Drosophila melanogaster: one gene and its partner. The protein of the gene in region 2 interacts with the protein of the main gene of each other region in a pairwise test. Each region holds a gene or a part of one and is shown on either strand. Other genes may lie near its edges.

Region 1 (7,947 bases), on a different chromosome or scaffold from region 2:
AACAATTGAAATAGTCGGTTTTGAGCAATCCGAAAAGTGCTTCGTGAATGATTAGTGGAACTCAAAGTTCCCACTTCCTATCGCAATGTGCTTATCTACATATTAATAATAAGAATAATATGTTGTTACGATTTGATTATTCTATTAAGAATGCCTTTCAACATATCGCAGTCTGCTAATTGAACTGCCAGACATTCGAATTTTGAATGCAGTGAGTGCATTATAATCAAGTTCGCACTTTCAAATTGCGGTTGGGGTGAATATTCACGGGGGGGGTGGTGACAATTTGTCTGCCCGTGATTTTGAATAACAAACGAATAAAATGGGTAAAATTGCCAAGAGCATGCTATATGAAGTTCAAAGCACTCTGTATAATGAATGGCAATTATTTTAAATTGGTTTGTAAGCCAGAAATGTTCAGTAGAGCCGGGTTTTTCGTATTTTAAAGTTACAAATAGAAATTCACACTTTAATAGCTCAAAGTCTCATGAGGCCGGTTCCTAGAACTCACTCATAATATTTAATGGAATATCTTTTATAAGCCATTCAAAGTTTGATACTAATGGGTTGCAGTGACACAAATCAAATGGCAAACATTTTCCTGGTGCAATATAAATCTTTTTTGCTTCAGTCGGTCGAAGTTCAATGGGTGGAGATGCGGGACGATAATGGTCCAATAATCGGGCACTTAAGTGGCCAATCCGATAAGATTAGCCATAAATAATAATGAACTTGTTGCTTAGCTCCCCTTTTTGGCTCAGTGTCCAAAATATTCAATTGTAAATTACTCGAGCGACATCCAATCGGAATGTCAATCGCAGTTGCATGCCATTTCTAATTAGAAAAGAGTAGACGGGCCATTGATTTCCAACTGGATGGTGAGATATACATATGTACATATATGTACGCAAAAGGTGGAAAAGCGAAGGTTGCGACCGGCGAAATGGTTTCTGGGGTGTGGTAGGGGCGGCATCGGGGCGAGGGAGTTACCCGGGCGTGCGCCAGTGACATCATTTCGCTATTTCCATTTTCATTTCCAGCATATGCTTTGTTTGCACTACGAATTCATCAAGTGTCATTTGGCACTATGTGCGTACACTGTGCACATGTATGTGTGAGTAAAGTTTGTTTGCCTCAAAAATAAAGCAAACAAAAACATAAACTTAAAACAACACAATCCAACCGATGACGTCACGAGGGAGCCTTTTTATTGTTCAAAATGGAACAATGAATGGGTCACAAGGATAAGAATGATCAGAAATAGCACTTTGTTGAAGTTTAAATTGCAAATAACCGGTTGGCGAACAATGATTAGCGGTTACAAAGCGTTTGGCTGTATTCACAATCGCACAGCTACACTTTAGAGCGGCACGTAAACAAAACGATATGAAACCCAAGATAAGCATTTATACACACACACACACAGAGAGAAAAGTCTAGTTCTCCACCGCAGCGGCAAACAAACTCTATTATTTACCCGCTAAGCACAAACTCAAGTCCAATCAGATGGGCGACTTTTTTTTAAACCTACAGCGCTAGCGTGACCGTGCTTGCCATGCTGGGAAATAACAAACTCGGTTGCGACCAAATTATCGATAGACAAATATGGCAATTTAATACGCGTAGTTTAGTTTTGGTGAAATAAGGCAAATATCAGAGGCATAATTTATAAGATTATTAAGTAAAACCATATAAATAATATAAAAATAAAACAATTAGATGAATAAAAGTTCTTCAACAAAAAAGGGATTAGGTTCAAGTAATTGTTTATTATGTGTGAAAAGCACCTAATTCTTAGGGAGCAATAAAAGATTGATGCGGAATATTGTTCGTTGTTGCTGATGCGAGGTGTCAGGTGGAGAAATACTATTTTAATAGGTTTAGTATTTTTAGACCCTTATGCAGGGAACGCACACTCAAGCAGAGTGGCAACGCCAGCCAAAATTCGAGTTTGACGCTTTCAAAAATGACATCCTAAAACGTTTGCTGCCTGGAAGAGAAGTGAAAACGAACTAAAAGTCGGGTATTATTAGTCTAAGGAAATGAGTACCAAACAGAGCCCGGCCCTCCAGCTGGCGGAGGGGCAGCTAACCAAGCTGACTAGCGAATCGGAAGAGATCCGTATGCGCGCGCTCGACCAGATTGAGACGAGATTCATCAGGTGCCTGCAACTGGGCGAGCCGATACAGTTCAAGCCGGTCCTGCTGCTGAAGCAGCTCATCCGCTGGTTCGGGTACACACCGCCGCTGGTGCCCGACCGTGTGCTGGCCATGATTATGGAACTCCTTCGATCCGAGTACGCCGAGGCGGTGATTCGCAAGATTCCTTACGAACGCTTCAAGGCCGAGCTGCAGAAGGTTCGCCGTGTGCTACACAAGCAGGAGTCCAAGCGGGTCAGCGAATTGCTGGATGATATGAATTTGCTGCTTCTCGAGAAGTACAACATAGACCGGGTGACGCCGAGCGTCTCCAGCCTTAGTTCAAATGACATTCCCAGTCAGGCAACTGAATCCGCAGACAGCAGTTCGAATCAGATTTACGACAATCTGAAACCGGAAGATTACGAGCCCTCCTGGTCGCATCCGTGCTTGGACGATGTGGCCACCATGAAGAGCATGATTGATTTGCCACGAAATAGCGTTGAGTTGCAGTTGCAGCTCACCGAACTGATCATCCGTATGGGCGACTACCCAACTGAGTACTTTCTGCAGCCACCGTTCGTATTCTTGCATCTGGTTCAGTTGCAAACGATGACTGACGGTAGCCTGATACATGTGAACCGGGCACTAATTGCCTGCCTGCGGCTGCTGCAGCAGCGCATCTTGTTGCGCCGAAACACTCTGAGCTACGCGGACAGGTTCGATCCTCCGTCACGCCCCAAGCAAGTGAAGGTGGTGAGCGCCTTGGTAATTCTGCTGGAAAATTGCATGAAGCTGATTCGTCCGTTGCTGTTCAGCTGCACAAACGACAACTGGCACATAATGGAGCTGATCGTGGAAATAGTGCGGACCCACGATGTTCTCAGCTCAAAAATTCCCTTAGTGAGCATTACGCTCATCGCGGACGCGGTCAAAAGTCTGCTGGCGTATTGTAACAGTGTAGAAGGCAGTTGCATGACCCAGCTGATGGACTCGCTCAGGATTCCCCGCCTGCAATCGCTGATCCTTAACGGCGTGCTGCACGATATGGTGGCCTTAAATATAAACTATGACAAACGCATGGACCGACGCCAAGCCAAAGCACTCATCCAACCTATAGTTTTGGACAGCGCTTACCTGTCTGGCATGCCCGAGCGCATGAAGTCGCTAAACACTCTAATATCGTCTTTGGATTCTGGACCATCACCGGACGAGGAGTTGATCAAGCTGAAGCGGGCCTACAGCGTGGCCCTAAATCAATTACATCCGAATACGGAACTGACTGGGTCGCTGCTAATCCAGAAGTACAGACAAGTGTGCCTTGTGCTCGTCCAACTGGGCAGTGAGACATTGGTAAAGCAGCTCTTCGGAGCTGTTGTAAAATGCATTCCATTCTACGCGGGCAATTTAAAGCTAAGAAAGGATGCGGATGAGCTGCTTTACACCCTTGTTGATTTGCCTGCTCTCAAACTTCGTTCACTTATATATCGTTTAATGATCAAATCCACCGTGGCCCACTTTCATTCCTTTATGAACAAGACAGTCTATATGACCGGCTGCAGCAATGTGGATCTGATTCGTCAGCATATCTTAGGCGTGCCGCTAACTCCCCTGCTGTTACGCAGAATGATAATTCAGAGTTCGGAAGCAAATACTTCGGAACGTATGCAGCAGTGGTGCCTCGACTATCCTATAATGATTATGAAGCTAAACGCTATTCTAGCTCCGCAGGATTTCAGCGTTGTTTTCCCGTTGCTACTCCCCGTGCTGCCTCTGCTGATCAGCAGGTCGGTTACACACAAGATATTGCACAACGTCATATGGAACGTTTTAGAGCCGGACTCCAGCCGTTTGGATCCGCAATTGATGCTGCGCGGGTACGTTTACTTCATGTTCCATCCGGATGGCGAGGTTAGGAGCGAGGCCACCACTACAATTGCTTACGTGCTGCAATGTCAGGAGCAAACGAATAGATATTTGCCCACCGCAAGCAACGTACCGGTTGAGCACATCGCCAACGATCTCTGCATAATTCAACCACCATTCTGTTATAGAAGCATTTTCATCAAATGCTCTGATGAGCGGTTTCAAGGTCAGCGCAGCTTGGACGCCCTGTTCCGATTACTCCAGGCCAAGGACATAAAGTCGAATATCCGAAAGTCAACAATGACTCAATTAAATGTCTTGCTACGAAACTGGAGAGCTTGTGAGGAATTCTCCACAAAGGAGGATGGATATCGACTGATTATGGAGTCTCTGCACAACGCTCTGAAAAAGGGGAACGACACTGATATTCTGCTGCCCACTGTGAGTATCCTGATGAAGCTTCTGTTCAATGACGATGAGTTTCGATTAGAAGTCGCGAACACATTCGGGGTGTACACTTTACTGCTGAGGGCTTTATTCTTGTTCCCCCACTTGGAACAGTTGCGCCAGGATGTCAGTATATGCCTGTTCCAAATGCTGTTCCAGAATTGTATCACCTCCACTGAAGACAAACTGGTACTGAATGCGAATATGGAACCCCTGATTTTGCCTGTAACCTATGAAATTGAACATAAAGTTATACCCACTGCCGTTACGGAAGGATTGGAGCTGCAACAAAATGTGGAGGCGACCCATTTCGGGCGAGATAGGGCAAAAGCTGCACAGCATTGGCGACTGTATATGGCCTATCGCGTTTGCCAGGTTCCATCCAGCATTACTTTGGAGTCTGTGAGCGCTTTGGATATAAGGGAGTCTCTTAAGATCAAAATGGCCGATTTGGCGTTAGTAAGATCCTCCGACTTAAATGAGCAGCTAAGTTGTCAGTTTATCGCAGCGGAGAATTGCAGCAAACACGAGGATCTGCAAAAAACTGTGTCGGCCATTCAGCTATTTCTCGTGGTTCTGCGAAACTCATTAAGTGATACGGTGGCTGAGAACTTGTGGAAATTAATCCATAAGTACATCCGCTTAGCGCCGGGGAACGAAGCGGATGACAAGGTGTACAAGTCCATGCTGGATCTGTGCGTAACATGCATTCGCTTCAGCCAGCCACATGCTATCAACGGACTGAGCTACGCTCTGGAAACGGATCATCATCACAGCTTCCAATTACTCCTGCACGATAGCCAAATTTCTCTGGATAAGCTATTCCTGATTTGCCAGTGCATGATGCAGCTTTTGTCCAACGAGCTCAGTGATGATTCGATGAACTGGTATGGCAAGTTCTTTATGCAATTGAGTGCCGTGGCCAAGACGCACTTTGAATTGCGCCAGCTGCAGCACGTTCGCTGCATACTTTGCATGCTGCGCTTTGTAAGCGAGCGAAATCTGAAATTTAGTAATGCTCAGTTGATGGTGAGTAAAGGATCATCGTCATTAGATATTGATTTCTTACCTTGAATTTTTGTCCGCAGAGCTACTCTCAGCATTTTATCCAATTGTCCAGCAATTTACGTACCTCAACTCAAACCGGATCCGAGTGGCAGCGGGACTGCTTGTACATAATCTGTCAGCTCCAGATCCATCTAATATATCAGGAGCCAAAGGCGTCCAGCAAGGCCAGTATCCCAAACGATGTCGGAGCTTCATATAAGGTCTTGCGCTATTTCTTAACACTTTGCGGGCACGGTGACAGTGAAGTGCGTGCATTGTCCTGGGTATCGTTGGCCAATTGGATAACCATCTGTGGCTCGCAGGTAGCAGAAATTCTGCCTCGCCTGGATTTTCTACCCGGCGGACTGCCGGCTTGCTGTTTAACCACTCTGACGGATGCCCACGAAATGATGCTGATCAGGGAGTTGGCCGGACGAGTATTTATCCTTCTGATGCCGCTCATTGGTGCCGAAAGTAGCTTGGAATTGTTGCGGAAACATGACTTACTAAAGACCGCCTACAATTCGCTGAAAGCAATTCACGACACTCCCTGGATGTTCAAGAAGATAGTTGGTGAGCGGCATTCGTGTGAAGTAATTAGCTGCTATGTTGCCATATGCACCAAAATGGTGGCCATGAAGCCAGAGTGGTGTGCCGCGCTCTGCGGCCACAGTTTGATGAGTGGTCTCAGCGATGTGATGAAAAAACTCAAGTCGCAGGCGTCCTGTTCGATTCCGCTTGTGGAACTGTGTGCATCCCAAATTTGTGAATTGTACTCGATGTGCTACACTAATAACTTTGAGTTCCTTAAGATGACGATTTGTCGAGATTCTGTATTCTTGCAGAATTATTTAACGCTGATCAACGATGTTTTGAGTTTGGAATGTCCCGAGTACATGGTGATTCCCCTATTAAAGATGTTTCTCATATTCTGCACGGACTCGAATTCGAACTCATTTCTCATCGAACAGATAAAGAATAAGCCATCTCTATTCATGGATTTCTTCCTGTTTGGATTGCATGTGAAGCTTATTAATTCGCCATTTCAGCGCTTTACTCTGTCAGCATTATCACTTGTGTTCACCAAAGCTCAACTTGCTGCGTATGATATAAGCATGCTAAGTGAGTTGGAGAAGTTCGAATTAGCATTCAGTGATCCTGATATTGCTAAAGATGGCAAACAAGAATTCGAGTCAAAAAAGAAGCAATCTGTATCGCAATGCATCTACGATGAATCCTCGGATAATTCGGATGACAATAAGCAAAGGCCAAACCATGCGATCCAGGCCACTAATGCGGCTATTATAATTTTCCATCGCTTGGATCAGCTCTTTGACCGTTACTATCTATCGAAGGCCTTAAACTTTTTGGAACTTCCTGCAGTGGGCCAGGTGCAGGTTTGTGAAGCACTCGGCGAACTGCTTAAGGCATCAACCTGGGCCGTGAAAGCAGCCGGAGAATCGAAGCTGCTTGGCAAGGTAGTTCACATTCTGGACGATTTTCTCAATGACGAAAAAATCGGAAACGCCGCCGTCTATGTGAAGCGAGTGGGACCTCACAAGGCGCAAAGTATCATAAGCAATCTCTTGGTACTGATTAACATGCTATCCCAATGGCATAGTTCTCCCAATTCTGAGATCATCCAGACCAGTATGGCTGCGAATATCGCCAAAATCCTCATCCGCATTTGGCCTTGGTTATCGCACTCGTATCACTTAAAAAAGGTTACTGTCCAGCTGATTATGTTCCTTACGGAGCATTCATTCGAAATGTGTAAACAGATATCCCTGCTTCAGTCGGGACATGCCCAATCCCTGCTACACCTAATGGCTCGCGTCGCTGACTTCGAGACCACCAAGAAGGAGATTCCAAACAAAGAGCCATCTCTGAATATGGTGCCCGCACTAAGGGTTATGGTAAACTGCTGTTGCTGCACCGAGGGTCGGCTGAGTTTGTCCAAAATGAATTTGCTGGATATGTTTGACACAATCCTTCCTGCTAATCCGTGCTCAACACATCTTAAAGTGCGACCACCTGTACTGATTGCATGGCTCGGATTCTGGGAGGTATTTTCCCGGTACGACGTAGGAGGAAAGGCTTGCCATCTTCAATCTCTTATAAACACGATTCGGCGTAGTCCTCCATTGAGTCACAAGCGGATCCTGTGCCTTCGAATACTCCGCAACATGTGCTTCTTCAATGGTAATCGCCCCCGGCTCGTGGAGCTGGCTGACTTTATTAACCTGCTGCGTGATATTTTGGAGCAGAGGGTCCAAAAAGCACCCACATCCGAGAAAAACGGGCTGAACTCCTTCGAGGAGCACCGCCTGGCTGTCCTCATGTTGTGGAAACTCTTCGGTTTCGGTGCCAAATATAAGGGCATGCTGCGGGGCACCAAGCTCTTTAAACTGCTGATTGGCCTTCGGGTGGAGATGTCGGTGGTCTTCTC
Region 2 (4,717 bases):
GATCGCAACACAGCCGAACCGACGACGATCGACTTCACAGGCTGCTGGCAAACGGTCCGTGCAACTTTTAGTGCATTTAAATAAATTATAAACACAAAAACAAAAGCAAACACAAAAATGATCGAAGGAGCGTAAGCGAAACATAAGCAGTTCATATTTACAGGAGCTAAATAAGTAATGCGGGGGGTTTGCGGCCAAAGAGAAGTTAAATTGTAGTTAGAGGTGGATGGATTAATACCCTAGGATGGCATTTAGGGCAAGGATCAGACGAAAAGGGCGCGTAGCATTACACCTTTTACATTAAACGACGATACGATGCCGCGCATCCAATTTGAAACTGTACGTATTGAATTTATGTTTAGTGTCTGCAGCATGCGGGGGATGTGAAGGAAGGAAGGAGGGAAGAAAAAGGATCGACGGGCGAAGAGCTAAATACATTTAAGGGTTAGATTTTCTGCGAAAGGACTGAAGTTAAGGCAACGTAGCGTTTAAATGCAAAATTGAATTGAATTGAATTGATGACGAAACCGAGTGTTATGGATAATGGAGCGTGCGCGAATGCGATTGGTGACGAAAATTACTTGTTTTAAGGCTGGACTTATGTAATTTCGAGCAAAAACGATAGTAGCGAAACAAAAACATGTAAAATGCAGATATAATATTTTTATAATTAAAACAAAGGTACCCCCACCCCACTACCCTTATCTTAATATGTTTAATTCAACTGCAATTATCGTTAAAGACGTATTTACTGTTTGTGATCCAAATTCATTGATTAAACGTAAACTACACAAAGATACAATTGTTGCATGGGCAAGGTTTGAAGTCCGGGTTCGCAAAGTACCCACAAGTACTCGATCCCCGGGTCTCAAAGACGAGGAAATCACGAGTCAATAAGCCAGGTTTAAAACTTGCAGGTGCGTCGTCAATGGCTCGCAATATTTTCCGGTCGGGCCAAATCCGAAAATGGCCTGCCCGAAAATTATACACACCTTACAGGACCGAGTGTTAAGAGTACTTTTGGACTCTCTGCGAACCCATAGAAATAGAGCAGGAACAGTAAATTGTACTTAATTGAAAAATGATATAATAAAACACCGCCACTTTGAAATATATTTACTTGAATCAAATAATATTAATGAGTATATATAACTTTGTACTTGAATAATATTTTATTTATATTTACCTTAAGTCAATAAAAATTCTAATAAATTATAATCACCCAAAAATGCATTTTGTTCAAATGTCGAGGGGAGTTCTTTTCAACTGCTGATTGGAAAATTGATGCCTTTTATTATTGATATTTGCGAATACTGATTGACAAGCTGCGAACCTTGAGTAAACGTATTCTTCCCAAAAATAAAATATAAAATAAATAAAGAAGGCTAATAAGTTTCATAGTGGGGTGTAAATTAAACAATTCAAAAGAACCGCCCAACTGTGGTTTATAAGCTTGGCGCACTACGCCAAGTAAAATACATGTAGAAAACGTGACGGCGTTGCCACTCTTATTGTATTTAGCTAGTTTAACCACCAAATAAACAGCGAAGTTCTCAACCATATGTGAGTTGCGTAGCCATACTACATTTGAAGCAAAAAACCCTAGTGTCGCTGCCGTCTTGTGGTATTTTCGTTGGCCCGAAAAACGGTCCTACCAAAATGGTACCTCCGGCCACACGGATGAATTCGTCGTCATTCGTCGGAATCATTCGAACTTTGAAAATGGATCGGTAGCTGGGAAGGAAACTTAAAGCGAAATACGCAAAGAAAACGGCTTTTGTCCGCTATTCAGCGATTTTTTTTGTGTTGTAATCAGCAGAGGAAATTTTAACGACCAACTCCACCGCCACACCAGCCATCTCCAGCAGCTCCGGAAAATAAAATAGAACTAAATTAACGCCTCCATCACTACAACAACCATCTCACCAACAACTACAAGAGCAACAACCACAGCAACAGCACTACTGCACCAAGCCCACAAAGAAGAGGTGAAACGCAAAAATCGCAATACCCGAAGAAAAAAACAAAAAATATCGCAGATAACCGAAAAAAGCGGTGCAAATAGATAAACCCCATTTTTTGCTTGAGCTTTTTTCGCCTGTGTGATGAGAGAAATCAGCAGCAGCCATCGATTACAACAACAACAGCAGCCACACCAACGACGACTCAACCACCAAACCAAGAATAAATAAACAGCGGAGAGCGATAGATAGAGAGAGAGAGAGAGAGGAGCATCTGCAGCAGAATTGAATCAGTTTTTTCATCAACCGCCGCATTGTATTAAAAACACAAAAATCCCATAGGCGGCCACCATTTTGATTTTGAATGAACTGAACGAGAAGAGAGGAAAGAGCACGAGAGACTGAGAAAAACTGCTGCTCATTTGTTGCACCGTAAACCCTTTTTCCAGCTTGTAAGCACTCTGCCTGTCTCACTCTAATCGCGTCCAGGAGCACCGTACAGTAACAACAACAGCAACAACATGGTGGAGCCCAAGTCCGGGACAGCTGCTTCTGCCGCTGCTGCGAAAGCAAGCAACAACAATAACAACAACCACCCCCGTGGATCTGGGGACAGCGGCATCCGGAGTGGCAGCGGCATTTCCTGCAGCAACACGGACAACAGCTGCAGCCAGAGTCAGTCAGGTGAGCAATTTGAGTTTCTAGAACTCTGGGAGTTTGACACTAAATTCCCATAGCTGAGAAGCAAACTGTGATGCATGAGATATATTTTGGAAACCTTCTGAAGAGATTTCGCATATTTGCGCTTCGTGTGTCACCAGTTTAATTTTAACTAGACAACATGTTAACAGAATGATGAAATAATTGCAAATATTTGCTCTGACTGTGAATTTGGCAGCTCTTTCGTATAAATTTGAACTTCTACCTATTGGAAATTCACCTGTATCTCTGTCGTAATATTGTTGTATTGCCTAAATATAAAGTATATTTCGTAGGCAACAGTTATTTGCATGCCAAAAGAAAACAAAAGCCTTATTTAAGCATATAATTATTATTTTGAGAATGTGACAAACGTTCTTTGCTTCTTAAAGTTGTACCTATAAAATACGATTTGTAGGATATTTCTGCTAAAATGCAATGGTAAAAAAAAGATATACGTTAATGTAATATTTTGTATCGGAAGTTATACTTCCTCTAAAGTTCCTAACCATATGTATGTATTATTCTGCTTGTCATTGGGTGGGGACTGACTACCAATCAGAGAAAAGACCCGACCATTGCTCCTACGCTTTCATTCAGTGGATTTCTAGTCAGTTATCGGCAAAGCTGGGCCAGGCAGCACTTTCGTTTCGTTTACCCTTGCTAATCAATCGAACGAACTAGGGAGCATTGACTGACTGGGCCACGTTGCGCACCGGGTGCCGCAGTGTATTTCCTTGACGTCACACGATGTTCGAGAACATGCATGCTGTCTGCCTGCCGGCGCCCAACCCCACCACCCACTCCGCTTCCCTTCACCCACCCCGCACAGTCTGTGTGGTGTTTACAGTTGTTTTGTTTCGCCAAGAGAACCCCATTGCATCATTCGACTGGGGCCATTAAGCTGAATATAAGTGTGTATGTGCCCTAATTTTAGGGGTATTCCAGCATCTGGACTTTATAACCATCACTGGGGGTGTTATTATTGTACACAAGTTCTTAATTATATGTGGGATTTGATATATGCTATAAAATAACAATGACAAAGATCAACTAAATCCACTAATTAGTCATATTCTAACTGGAGGTTAAACTAGAAGTTTGTTGTTTTCGTTTAGATAGTGATTATAGTCCATACTTTGTGTTTATCAAAGATAATCTTATGAAACAGGACAGATTGTTGTGTAAATATGCTAGATACGGTTGGGTTGGACCACTGACATCCACTAATTCCACTAATATCCTATAAAATCGGGCATAAGTGAGCTGCTTTGAAAAATCATGAAATCCATATGGGTAAACTGCTGTACAATAGGAATATATTCACACATACATATGTAGATTTCAGCACCAATAGTTACCCTTTGTAATTAGACCAGTTGACTGGTATAAATTCGCATAATATGATTATCAATTTAAGCAATACTAGATTCCAAGCACAAAAGGGTATTCCTTTTCCCTGCCATTCCACCAACACCACCAAAGCTGCCGGCGAAGTGAGAGAGACGGCACTAGTATCTGTGCCAGCTAGCCGAGACCGAGAAATTGAAATTGAGCGTGTGCAGGCAGTTATGGAAATGGAAAATGACTCATGATGGCTGATCGATTGAGCGTAATGCACTGACACTCGTGTTCAAATGCGTATTCGTGCCCAAAATGCAGCGAACGCGGCGAAATGTGAACAAACTACGATTATAACCTTCATGACGTTTATTGCACTTGGTGTGACGTTCGTTGCTTGGCCTCCCACACATATAAAATGTGTGCGCCCATTAGGAGTTGTGCTGGAGTGGATTTTGCAGCTGCAATCAACTGAGTGCAAAACGCTGTCAATTGGAGCCCACCAGCTGGAAACTTGTTTTCCCCCCAACGATCCATAATAATTTTCCATAATTATCGAGAAGTTTTTCATTCTATCGAGGCCTATCGATAGGAGGACATCTAGTGGTGCCTACGTGCAGCCTCCTCCGATTCATGAAATCAGCCCAATATATCTCTGTCTCCCTTGCTCGTTTGCGCAAAAGCCCTGAGAGAGAAATTTATTTTTTAGCTGTGGC

What was found.
Region 1: the proteins of Lk6 (region 2) and ana3 interact in a two-hybrid assay, tested with the Drosophila melanogaster proteins (one study listed by BioGRID).

What each region holds. Positions count from the first base shown.
Region 1 is NT_033778.4:12,343,044-12,350,990, forward strand, and holds the start of ana3 (anastral spindle 3), read left to right. Parts: upstream 1-1,939; 5' UTR 1,940-2,042; coding exon 2,043-5,480; intron 5,481-5,539; coding exon 5,540-7,947. UniProt on the Drosophila melanogaster protein: Participes in the structural integrity of both centrioles and basal bodies and in centriole cohesion. Participates in the later stages of centriole assembly through the interaction with Rcd4 leading to the centriole to centrosome conversion.
Region 2 is NT_033777.3:11,761,412-11,766,128, reverse strand, and holds the start of Lk6 (Lk6 kinase), read left to right. Parts: upstream 1-1,671; 5' UTR 1,672-2,482; coding exon 2,483-2,645; intron 2,646-4,717.